Linked DNA regions of Caenorhabditis elegans. The protein of the gene in region 2 interacts with the protein of the main gene of each other region in a pairwise test. Each region holds a gene or a part of one and is shown on either strand. Other genes may lie near its edges.

The links. The genes of interacting proteins can lie anywhere in the genome.
Region 1: the proteins of F36A2.9 (region 2) and K11D9.3 interact in a two-hybrid assay, tested with the Caenorhabditis elegans proteins (one large-scale study listed by BioGRID).

The regions. Positions count from the first base shown.
Region 1 is NC_003281.10:10,798,496-10,804,732, forward strand, and holds the start of K11D9.3 (Major facilitator superfamily (MFS) profile domain-containing protein), read right to left. Parts: upstream 2,605-6,237; 5' UTR 2,604-2,604; coding exon 2,483-2,603; intron 1,714-2,482; coding exon 1,447-1,713; intron 1,396-1,446; coding exon 1,250-1,395; intron 796-1,249; coding exon 550-795; intron 1-549.
Region 2 is NC_003279.8:8,814,946-8,821,182, reverse strand, and holds the start of F36A2.9 (Lipase_GDSL domain-containing protein), read right to left. Parts: upstream 4,208-6,237; 5' UTR 4,203-4,207; coding exon 3,934-4,202; intron 3,576-3,933; coding exon 3,471-3,575; intron 3,427-3,470; coding exon 3,215-3,426; intron 3,148-3,214; coding exon 2,933-3,147; intron 2,322-2,932; coding exon 2,176-2,321; intron 2,123-2,175; coding exon 2,008-2,122; intron 1,963-2,007; coding exon 1,756-1,962; intron 1,685-1,755; exon of another isoform or gene 1,607-1,684; coding exon of another isoform or gene 1,561-1,606; intron 1,515-1,560; coding exon of another isoform or gene 1,105-1,514; exon of another isoform or gene 1,080-1,104; intron 911-1,079; coding exon 806-910; intron 740-805; coding exon 629-739; intron 570-628; coding exon 453-569; intron 300-452; coding exon 204-299; 3' UTR 1-203. Other genes in the region: F36A2.10 (DNA-binding protein), read left to right, coding at 1,105-1,514, 1,561-1,606; rps-15 (Small ribosomal subunit protein uS19), read left to right, coding at 4,998-5,104, 5,180-5,402, 5,458-5,583.

The DNA.
Region 1 (6,237 bases), on a different chromosome or scaffold from region 2:
TACCAACATGACCAATTATCATAGTAAAAAATTCAAAATGTTTTTCTAAATTTTATATGAATTTTTGAAAATTGGGAAAATCTCAGTTTTCGTTGTTCTTTTTTCTTTCAAATTTTTGGTGTGCAATCGTTTTAAATACTATTAGCCAACGCAATAGTTTTCTCGAAATGTGGCAAAAACTCAGTAATTGCCACTATTGAACCGTCAAGTTTAAAACAATTTTAGTGTTTGAAAAGTTTTACTATGATATTTGGTAGTTTCGAAACCATATAACAGAGGAGAGCCTTTTTTGCCGGTTTGCCGATTTGCCGGAAATTTTCATTTCCGGCGGTTGCCGATTTGCCGATTTTCCATTCGCCGGATATAAATTTGTCGGAAGTTTCTAGGGAGATTTTTTATATGACGGAAACATTTAAAACTGTACCTTTTTGAAATGTTTTCCCGTTTTCTTTGTATATTTTTTTTGAATTTCATTAAATTTGAAATTCTGAAATTTAGCACAGTTTGCCGATTGCCGTTTTTCTGAAATTTTTGTAAAATAGATCTCACCTTCGAATGTTCAATTCTCTTATGCTCAATTGGAACATACGGTACTCCTGCCATTTTTGCAATATGCTTCTCACTCTTTTTCATTTCATCCAACCTTCCTTTATTATGCAACCATGTCGGAGACTCTGGGAACACGAATACAATAATAATTAGAGCTGGAAGAGCAGCCACTGCACATGCAATCGATGACATTCTCCATTCGGGTAATGCCATTGCGATTAGGGTCATCATAAGACGAGCTACTCCCTGAAAAGTTGGATTTCCTGATTTTAAGCGTCAAGCATGGTGCATCGAAGGTTTCTTAAATACTTTTATTTTGAACATCAAGTATGAGATCGTTTTTTAAATTTAATTTTTGCAACAAAAAAAAAAAGAAAAAGCATTTGTCTGGATTTTCAAATCAAGCCTGTCTGTTAAAAAAAGAATGAAATTTTTGAGTTGAAGCTCAAAAAATGCCCTTTGCAAGTTTTTTATTTTCACTGTGCAATTTATTTAGCAGTTGACATTTCATAAACTTTATTTTCTATACCAAATGAAAAAAAACATGTGAAATTTACCATCTGTAGCAACCATTATAACTGAGATCGTGGCGAAACCCATTTATAAAAAATCATGTGCCTTTAAACAGGAGTATCGATGCACCATAACAGACGCTCCCTCATAGATTAAATGCACTATAAAAGTGACAAAAATCACATACCCAATTAAAGAATGCTCGCAGAGCCATTCTCTGTTGCGGCAGGAGCATTTCCATCACAAATGTGCACACAACTACAAGAGTTCCACCGACAGACAAGCCCAAAAAGAATCGGATTCCCAGAAGAACTTGGTAGTTTGGAGCCAATCCTGGAATAATTTTATTTGTTAAAAAAAAATTATTTTGAATTTTCCACTAACCCGTCACGAAATTCATGAGAATTCCAAGAGAAAGTGCAAAAACGGCGACAGGCTTCCGTCCAACAACATCTGAAACTGCTCCAAATGAAAATGTTCCACATAAAACGCCGGCAAATTGAATTTGTGAGAACAATGACTTCAAGTATGCAGATTTTCCACAAATCCAGTCATATTCCATTGCAGCTGACTTGAATGCCACGTTGACAAATGTTAAGTTGGATTTACATGATTCATAGACTGAACAGTCTGATGTTGGCTCCCCATTTCCTGAAATTATCAATTTTATTTGGGAAGCTTAGAAAAAATAGATTTCACGGTCAAGGCCTTGACTTGCAAGGTTTCTTTAAAATTTTATGTTTTACAGATTTGTCAAAAACAGTTTTTATCTTCAATTTTGGATACCAAATTTTGGCAATTTAATAAAAGTTAGTTCGTGTTTACAGAATATTATGTTACACACTGGTTACACTATATTTGTCGCACAAAGATTAAAAAAAACCTGCTCGTCAGATATGGCTTTTAATTTCTAAAGAAGGATTCTCTGTCATTTTTAAAATGTAATGTACTACAATTTGGGGTGTCGGTGTTTGCAGAGATTGGTTTTCGAAGTTTCTTTTAGAAGTTTCTTTGTATTCTTATTTTCAGAAATTTGGTAATTTTCGATTCGAAAACTGAAATAATGAACATTTTCGCGTCAAATATGTTCTAGAAGTTTGTCTACTCAATGCACCATATTTGACGCGCGAATTTGAAAATTTTGTCAGTTTATTTTTATTTAGTTGCAACTAGTTGTTTGTTGTTTTCAAACAAAATCAGAAAATACCGTTTTTTTTAGTGATTTCCCGGAAAAAAATGCGCGTAATTTAAACATCGATTTTGACGTTCAAAATCTAAAAAAAAATGCAGGAATTTTTCCTCGAAAAAATGTGACGTCAGCACGCTCTTAACCATGCAAAATTAGTTGAAAAGTTTGCGAAAAACTTTCATAAGTCTGGATTTCTTTCAATAAAATTTTTATAAAAATATAAAAACAAACCGCATGTCCATTGTGGCACATAATTCGAGAAAATCGGAAAAATCTGTTGTGAGGCGAAGAAAATGGAGAATTGCCAAGTGAGGAGAACGAGAAGGTGGAATCGATTAATATCGAACCACATCCTGAAAGTGTTCGAAATCGGTTTTGCGAATTTCTCACTCTCTTTTTTTTTTTGATAAATTGATAGCAATTTTTGTGTTAACAGATATGAAAAGGATAGATGATGAGAAAAATTACACTGATTTAAGTAAAGAAGAGATTGGAGTGAAAAACGAAAAAGTCCGTTTTTCTGATCTTTCTGGGGTTATTGGAGTAGGTTTTTATATATATTCTTTGGTTTTTAATAAGGACACCGGTTTTTGAAAATGATGAGACTAATGTTAAAGAAAAAACTTCGTCTGGAAAAAAACGTTTCCGTAAATTATAAAGGTTACCTAGTTGTTCCTCTAATTAAATTTGAATTTTTGGTACAGAATTTGATTTTAATTCTAAATTTTTAGACCAACAAATATGGGCTGGAATTTTGAAAATGGTTTCAAAACTTCAAAACTGTGAAAAAAAACGTATTTAGGAACATTTTTATACTTCAAAGTCAGTTTATTTTGGTTAAAAATATGATTTTCCGAATTTTTTTAAAGAAAAAACTCAAATTCAACTAATTTCCTAATTTTTTTACCAATACAAATTCACTATATAATTAAATATTCGGTATTTATGCAGAAATTTCGGATTTAAATTTAGCTTATTTAATTTTTTTTTTGATACGGAATATTGTGAATAACAGGCGACATTAATATTTTAGTATTTGAATATTTTAAAAATTAGACAAATTTTATAAATTTTTTAGAAGGTATAATCGGTTATTACGGTATATTTTTGGTACTTGTGTACACATTTGTACAAACATTCATTTATTTTGAAAATAAACATTTAATCGAATTTTTTTCTACCAATATACCAAAAAAAAGTTTTTTTAATTAAAAAAAAATACACTGAAAAATTCAAAAAACATACATAATCGAGCCAAAACAAAATGTTCTATAAATGGATTTTTACAAAAAATTCCAACTATCATATTAGTAACATTTTTGGTAAAACCAAAAATATAGAAGAGCTAATAAATTTAAAACTCAACTTTTATTACATTAATCGGCGGTCCTACTTATCCAAAATTTTAACAAATCTAGTTGAGGAGATATAATGAGTTTTGTGACGTGGCAGGCGTGTGTATGTGTAAGGGGATTCGGTATGGCACAAAGCTTATCAAAACAGCTGTCAATTGTCAGATAATGAATCACAATCACAGAGACACGACAATGATTCTTTCCTCTCATTTAACTTTTGACCGATAAATAAACACACACAATCAACGAGAAACGTTTTCTTCGCTTTTCTCAAAAATTCAAAAATTTATGCTACAATGCTGGAACATAGAATTGAATTATTCTAGGTACTGTTTCGATTGAAAATCATTTTATGTCAATAAAATCATTAAATAAGTTTCAGAAAATTTCAAAACAATCCACTAAATTCAGAAAAAAATATGAATGTCCACGTACACAAGCTTTGTCTGAAAAAATTTTTGAGCGAGAATTATGAATTTAAAAAATTAAAAATCCCGGCTCTACACGTTGACTACACAGGTTTTTTATCGGAAAAACAAATTTTCAACAAGATTCAGTAAATAATTTTTAAAAAATTAAACAAAATTCTAAATAATTCAAATAAATTCTGGAAAAAATTAGAATCCCGGATTGTAAAGGTGGAGTACACAAAATTGAGGTGGCCTACAAAATGAAGACAAATTGGGATTTTCTAGGCCATGGGCTTGTTAAATAAAGCTGAAAAACTTGAATTTTGGAAAAGATATAAAGAAATAAGAAATCAAGAATAACGAACTCGTGAATTTTTTTTGGAAACAAATATATATAGAAAAAGAAAAATGAGAGATAAGGAGGGGGAGCTGTTATCAATAATTGACTGATTGGAAGAAATGGGTGCCCCCAACTGAAAAAGATGTGTTCAATGAGAGCAAAAACAACGGAAAATGATCAGGAAGAGAAAGAGAATGGGAGCGCACAAAAACAAGGAGCCGGACAAAATTCGAGCCAATTTTCGGAGGGTTACTGTAGTTTTCTAGGACGGGCACATAAATATTTTGCTAAACAATTTTTTTGCTAAACACGGACAACAAAATTTCGAGTTTCACGAAGATCTAGGCCAACTTTCAACAAAATTAATAAGATAGAAAACTCGGCCATTTTTTTCCACGGCCACGTATACCATTTATTCTCAAAAAATTTGAAACCCCTGTCAAAGAAAATGCGCTCTATTGAGAAGTCCACAAATTTATGTTTCGTGGCGAGAAGAGAAAACTAGGCCACCAAAAATGTTAATATATTTAGTAATTTGGGAACTAACGGGCTAAAGTAAATTTTAAAAAAATCAGTGAAGCTTGGCCACCGATATTTTATTCAGAAAAAAAATTAAAATTTTTATTTACAAAGTGCGGCCTATTGAGAAATTCTCTAAAAAATCTGGGAAAAAATATTCAAATTTCCAGCTTATCACACTCTAACTAGGATGAATTGCTGGCCGAGTTTTTGCGTTTTCTAGGCCACGTGGCAAAAATAGAACATTATTGCACTGCACAATATTTTACTATAACCAAAAAACAAGAGAAAAAATTGTTTTAACTTTTTTTGGGAGAAGTGTACAAAGTTTAGTTTTTGTCACTTGTTCTCCTTTTCTTCCGCCGCCCATAAACATCTAATGGGGTTATTCAAGTAGTGTCGGAAAATTAAAAAGTGTAGAAAAATTACGTCACAACTGTATTTAAATACATTTTGCTACATTACTTTAATAACCCCATAAGTTTTTGCAAGTTATAGAGACAAAAAGACTGGAGGAAAACATAAAAAATAATGATTAAAGGGACAACCGGCCAGGAAAGAAAAAACATATGAAGATGGGCAATAAAATGTGTGGTGATAAGCGTTGAATAGGCTCTCCAAATAAACTAAAAACTAGGCGTTAGGGTGCTTATTTATTAGTTTGGATTTTTAAGGGGGATGCTCTTTTTGCAAGTTTGCAGGTCTTTCAAAAAATCGCAAAAACCTCACTGTTTTTAATATATTTTGTAGTATTTTGTTGTTTCTACTAATTTTCATATCGAAATTTCTAATAATCCAACTGAATACATATTTTAATACATATTTTAAAATGTTTTTTTAGGAAAAAAATAGTTGAAAACAATGGGTAAAATTTTCAAAAAGTACGAAAAATTCTTTGAAAACGGGCTAAAATTTTGCCGTCCAATTCCTAACGAGACCCAGCGTTTAGGGGTGGTGCAACCTTATTACGGGAGCATAATATTCTGAGAATGCGTATTGGGCAACATATTTGACGAGCAAAATAAATTATAACTATATCTCGTAGCGAAAACTACAGTAATTCTTTAAATGACTACTGTAGTGTCGATTTACGGGGTCAATTTTTGAAATTAATTGCATAAATCATTTGTTCATCTATAGAATATTAAAGTTAAGCAAAAAAAAAGAAAAAAGTTATACGACGAAACGAAGAAATTCATTTTAAAAATCAAGCCCGTAAATCGAGCTACAGTAGTCATCTAAAGAATTACTGTAGTTTTCGCTACGAGATATTTTGCGCGTCAAATATGTTGTGCAATACGCATTATTAGAATTTTGTGTTCTAATGTAATATATTCAGATCGAAAGAGACAAATTTATTTC
Region 2 (6,237 bases):
TTTTCGGAATTGATTGGCATAAATTATTTACAAATGCCATAAAACTGAGGTTGTAAAGCAAAACTGGGTTGGAATGAATTCAAGGATGTAAATGATAAATTTACAGGATAATTGGATAAAAATTACAGAGAGTGAGTGATGACAAGATGAAAATACAGCAATTACTAACTAAATATAAATCGAATGAATTCTCAATTTGAGATTTATACATCCGGGTTTCCTTCGTTGATTGTTCCTAAAAATGATTTGTGACGTCCGACAGGAATTGGTGCAAGCTGGATACCAGTTGGAGTTGTCGCCTGAAACGTAGCGATGTTTTTTAAAAGTTTTCAAACTGAATATTGCGCTTTGGAAACCGCATTTTTCGGAAACTTATTGAAAGAAAAAAACGAAATTATTTCATGAGAGCTTTGAGATATTACCATATTTAGTAATTGTTTATTTAAATTTACCTGTTCAGATTGTGCTCGAGTATTTTGTCTTGTAAGCAGCGCCTTTTGCTCTTCTTTCTGCGCTTCTTCCAGTTTTTTCTGTGGTTCCTCCACAATCTCGAACCGTCCATGATTACCCTAAAAGTATTATGTATTAACATCTATTTAAAAGTGGAATTCTAGTATAGATTGCATACCGCTTTGGATTTTTGATAAAAGAAAGTTCCGAGCAGGCAGGCAGCACAAAAGGCTGCACCTATAACCACCATTGCCACGTTGTACAAGAACCGAACCGAGCGTCGACGAGGCTACAATATCAATACATGCAGAATATACAAAATTAAAAGTAAAAGCATTCACAACATCAAACAAACCTTTGTAAAAGTCCCATTTATATCAATTAATTCTTCTTTTGCTTGTTGAAGGCTCATAGTGGAACATCTCTTGTGATTCTCATACGTTCGGAAATACGGACAACCCTTAAAAAAACAATTTTCAAAAAAAAAATTGAACCAAAAATTTGAAAAACATTTATTTATGTTTCATTTCTAATTTCTCGTGACATGGTTTAATTATTCTTTTCGCCCGGTCAAATGAATGTCTATACAAGGTCGACCAAAACCACAAAACAATCATTAGTTCGACATATTCGCATACTTGAAGAAATCCATCAATGGCAAGAAAGACTACCGTGGCAAAAGTCGGATCTAAAGGTCCAGGATCTACAAAGAAGACGATTCAAGCTGTCCGACCAACGGTCCGCACCCAAGGAGCGGTTACTCGCTCTCAGGCTGCTCTTCGTGGACATATGGGGATCACTGACTCTTCGACTTCGACCAGTTCATCTCGAATTCCGAAGGAGAAGTTGAAAAAGAAGGCATCATCTCGTAGCCGTTCAAGATCCCGTTCGAAATCTACTCGCCGCTCACGTTCAAAGTCTACTCGCTCACGTTCCAGATCGAGATCTCGAAGCCGCAGTAGCACTCGTGGAAAGAAGCGTGCTCCAAAGAAGGCAGTTACCACGAAAGCCGCTCGATCTATCTCTCCCGTCAAAGTGAAAAAGACAGAAGCCATCAAATCGCGGTTTGTTTTTTTCAGTTTTATTCTAATATTCATAGTCAATTTTCAGTGGAAGCAGCAAAACCGCCCGTCGTGTGTCTGCGGCTCACAAGTAAATAATCGTCGCTTCTTGATGGCAAGGTAGAAAAGAGATCTTTCCGGGATATAACTATGAATAAAAATATTGTGATTTGAAACGTTTTTTTTAATATGCTGTTGTTAGTGTTAATTTGAATATTTCGCATTAATAATGCATTCAACTTACAACAGAAGGACAAAAATAGTTATCCTGGGAAAGTGTAGCCGAGGAAAGATTATATAAATCTCCGCCAATCAGCCTATTCCATAACCACTTCGTCGCGTAATTATGACCTCTTCGATTCAATAATGGCTTATCTCGAATGAACAATCCACTTGGATATCTTGAGGTTATAGTTACCATTGGATAACTGATCATTCCGAATGTTGGTCTCTACAAAATGAATTAATTTTAAATTATTTACAAATCATAACTCACGGCTGTAACTCCATTCTCCACAAATTTTTGAACATCTCGCCAAACTTTGGACCATTTTCGAGACACATCATACATGAACCCTTCGGTTTGGTCTCGAGAACATGCACAACGGGCTCTAAATTTCAATTCAAATTAAATTCTCTGAATTCCCAGTTTTCAATAACTTACTTCAAAAGATTTGATTTCTGCTCGTGGAAGGATGATACATGAACAGGTCCCAAAAGAACAACCAAAGCCTTTGGAATTTCTATTTGCAGATGTTCAATAGCTTTTCTAATGTTATCATACGAAGGTCCTTCACATCGAGAGCAAAGCTGAAACAAATCGGGTCAAATTTTCATTCATTATACACCAAGACATTACTTGATTACTGCTTTTTTTAGAAGAATTCAGAAGGAAGAAGTTAATTTTTTTAAAAAGTTTTTGGAAAAAATTTTAAAACCCAAAAATTAAATTTCAGTTTATGTGTTTAGTTGTTTTTTGCGGCTGCTTCCTGTTTAAGCAGATTCTGTCGTTTTATTCTAGGTTTTCTGTTAAAAAATGTTTAATAAGTAAATATTCAAAGCACATATTTTCATTTAAAAATTGTTTTTTTTTTATTTTGGTGAAAACTGGCTTGAACAAATTTTAACGAAAAAATCGGCTAAGTGCTTTTATTGAAAATACAAGAAAAATAAACAAGGAAGCAGCCGCAAAAGTAAAAAGGACTACCATACAATTTTTGCGCGCCGAGAACCGTCTGAATAAATCCGTGCGCCTTTAAGAAGGTATGTGTGAATGGTGAGAGATTACGATACATATCCCTTTTCTTAAAATAAATTTATCTTGGTTTATTTTTTAAAATTTTTGTTACGAAAAAATTGTTTTCTTGATTTTAGCAGAAATTTTTCCGTTGAACGGTCTTTTTACACATTTATTTACTCACTTCTTCTGTCCCAATAGTAATAATTATCATAATCCATTCATTATGATAATCTAGCTCTGATAATTTTTTCAGTCTGCGTGTTAATCGTCTTGCTTGATCTGGAAGATCTTCGGTCGTTGCTCCGGTAACCGCCACGTTAAGCTGATGATTCGGAAGATCGGCTCCCATTCCGTGAGATACGCCGACTAATTTTGGACTGAACTCCCTCAGAATATCTGAAAATTGTTTATTTATTGTTGATTATAAATTTTTTACAGGAAATTCTTTTTAAAAAAAGCTCACTTGGAATGGTGATCAATCCATCTATAGTAGAATCTCCACCAATCGGGAAACTGGCACCTCGAAACTCGATATCCGCATTTGGCCATAATCCAATTCCAGTTGCGAGAGCATCTCCCATTGCAGCAATGATTGTTATATCTTCAGGAGATATGTTTCCAACATTCGTTCCAGTCAAAAGTTCAGTTTTGATACGAGGACAGGAGAATGTCTTTCTGAAAAAAGCTTCATTTTTATCAATATATTAGTAAAAATAAACCTGTCATTGAATGCAGAGTTGATTACACCAGCCACTGGTTGATGTTTTTCAGGTTTGATGGCGGTCAGAGATTTGAGATGTTGATGATCCACACTGTCTCTTTCTCTGAAATAATAATTGTTTTTGTCATTTTTCATAGAGTTCCAGGAAGACCATCACTCGACCTCATTCAAAAAGCGTTTAATTGGAAGAAACTAATATGGAAAAGAAGATTAAAAAATTAAGTAACTCAACAAAAATAAATAGGATAGTTTGAAATTGGGAGAAGCAGACCATGCGGTTTTAGCATTCTAATTTCAAAAATTGAAAACCCTTCTTCATCTTCGTGTGATGACGTAGCAGTGTCGAAAAATTTGTCATAATCGGCTGATTTTCCCCACATTTTTATAAGTCTGAACTGTCCAAATTTTGTAAATCGCAAGAAGCCGGTGAGAAAAAATGATTTTAAATTAAATGGTCACACCTTTCTTCACTTATATCACTTGAATCATCATCTTCTGAAACTTCTGTACTGTCATTTCCACGCCTTTTTTGTTCTTCTGGAGTTATTTTATCGTCATCACTGCTTCTTCGGCTCGCATAATCGGTCAAATTTTGCGAATTATCCTCATAATCCACCATAAACTTTCCCTCGTCATGGAACTCCCCGCGTAGAATTTTCTGGTCTACATTGGGAACCACAGATCCATGTGCAAAATAAAATAGAAGTAGTAGAAGTAGGTTTAATCGCATTCTGAAAAAATTAAAGTGAAGACAAAATAGTGCTTGCGATAAGGCTAAAGAAGAAGATATTTAAAAGGTAGAATCGTCAAAAGGAGAGAATATAGATCTCCAAACTCTATTATGCTTTATTTGCAGTTCGAAATTGAAAACAATGCTTAAAAAACAAAATTAAATCGACAAGAATTTCAAATAACTAATTATTGTCGAATAAATTCTGGTCGAAACTTCATTTTATGAAAATAATTTGTATTCAGCAGTTGAATACATTTTTTATTTTGAGAATAACATTATTTAAATTAAATTACGAAGCTCCAAAACTTTTTTTTTCACCAATTTCCGTTTATCAGGCCCGAAAAATTGATAAAAATATAAGAATTGCAACCGCGCTCCACCGAATTCTGGCGAACAGCCAACCTGCGCTGAGTAGCGACTCAACAATGATGAACGATACGGAGCTTCGGTTGTCAGTAGAATTTTTACAAAATTTTCCGTTTTTCGCGATTTTTTTCACGGTTTTTCTGGTTTTTTGGTGTTAATACCTGTTTTTAATATAGAAATACTAATTTTTCTTTTCCTACTGTAGAGAAATATGTGAAACTAATGGAAAAATTATCGTAAAAATGTATAAAATGGAAGTTGCATTAATTCAGATTTTATTTAATTAAATTTTACGATATGTAAGTCAGTGCTCTTTTTGATAATTCATGACGAGTTTTCTTCACTTCTCTTCCATATGTTTATTTACTTTCTTTTCAATATCCATATATTGCAACAAAAAAAGTAATCGATTTTTCAGGGTTAAACATGGCTACTCAAGATGATGCCCATCTCGCTGAGCTGAAGAAGAAGAGAACTTTCCGCAAGTTCATGTACAGAGGAGTTGACTTGGACCAACTTTTGGACATGTCCCGGTAATTTTTTAAAACAATATTTTGCCGGCAATGTCTGGTTTTTGGTCATCTCCAAGAACAATTATTTATTTCCAGTGAACAATTCACCAAGCTTCTCCCCTGCCGCATGCGCAGACGTCTCGATCGCGGACTCAAGAGAAAGCACTTGGCTCTCATCGCTAAGGTCCAAAAGGCCAAGAAGGCTGCTGGTGTTCTCGAGAAGCCAGCCACCGTTAAGACCCATCTCCGAGACATGATCATCCTTCCAGAGCTCGTTGGTGGAGTCATCGGAATCTACAACGGAAAGGTTTTCAACCAGGTGAGTCGATTACAATAAATGCGAAAACATTATGATTATTATTATTTTGTTACAGACCGAAATCAAGCCAGAGATGATCGGATTCTATCTCGGAGAGTTCGCTATCTCCTACAAGCCTGTCAAGCACGGAAGACCAGGTATTGGAGCTACCCACTCTTCCCGATTCATCCCACTCAAGTAAAGTTATTTGTTGAACAATAAACTTGTTTCTAAAGTTGATCAAATTATGTTGCTGTCTTTTATACACGGTTGAATAACATCAATTCGAAGAAACGTGATGATTTTATATTAGAATGTGTCGAAATGTCCGCGCGAGTTGAAAGGGTCAGTTGAATATTGGATGCGAATGCCTTTACGGAAGCCCGCACTATCACAAAAATAACCACCCAAATTTTTTGAATTTCTTTTGTATTCCTAATAAAAGTAAACGAATATCGAGAACTTGCTGGCCCTGGATGTCATCGACCAATCTGAATACCGTGATTACCATTCTTCTACACAGCAATACGCTGCTTTTAATGAACAGAATAGTCCGAACACAGAATTGCAATAAAAGGCCATAATTTTAGAAAACGGCTTCTCATTTTTTCTCATCAACATTAAGTGAAAAAATGGATAGATTTTGTTCTTATTTCTCCGAAAGGTATCAAAAATGTTCGACTTGGTGGCAATAAGTTTCCTCGTCACATACTTCGCTGTCTCCCACTTGATTTCGTGTTTGTTATAATTGGTCCATTTTCTGGATCCTGTCTGTCAGATTAAAGTTTCTGATAACAGATTTCGTCTAAACGGTAATCCAATGTTCACGAAGTGTTTATTCAGTCGTGGGAAGTCG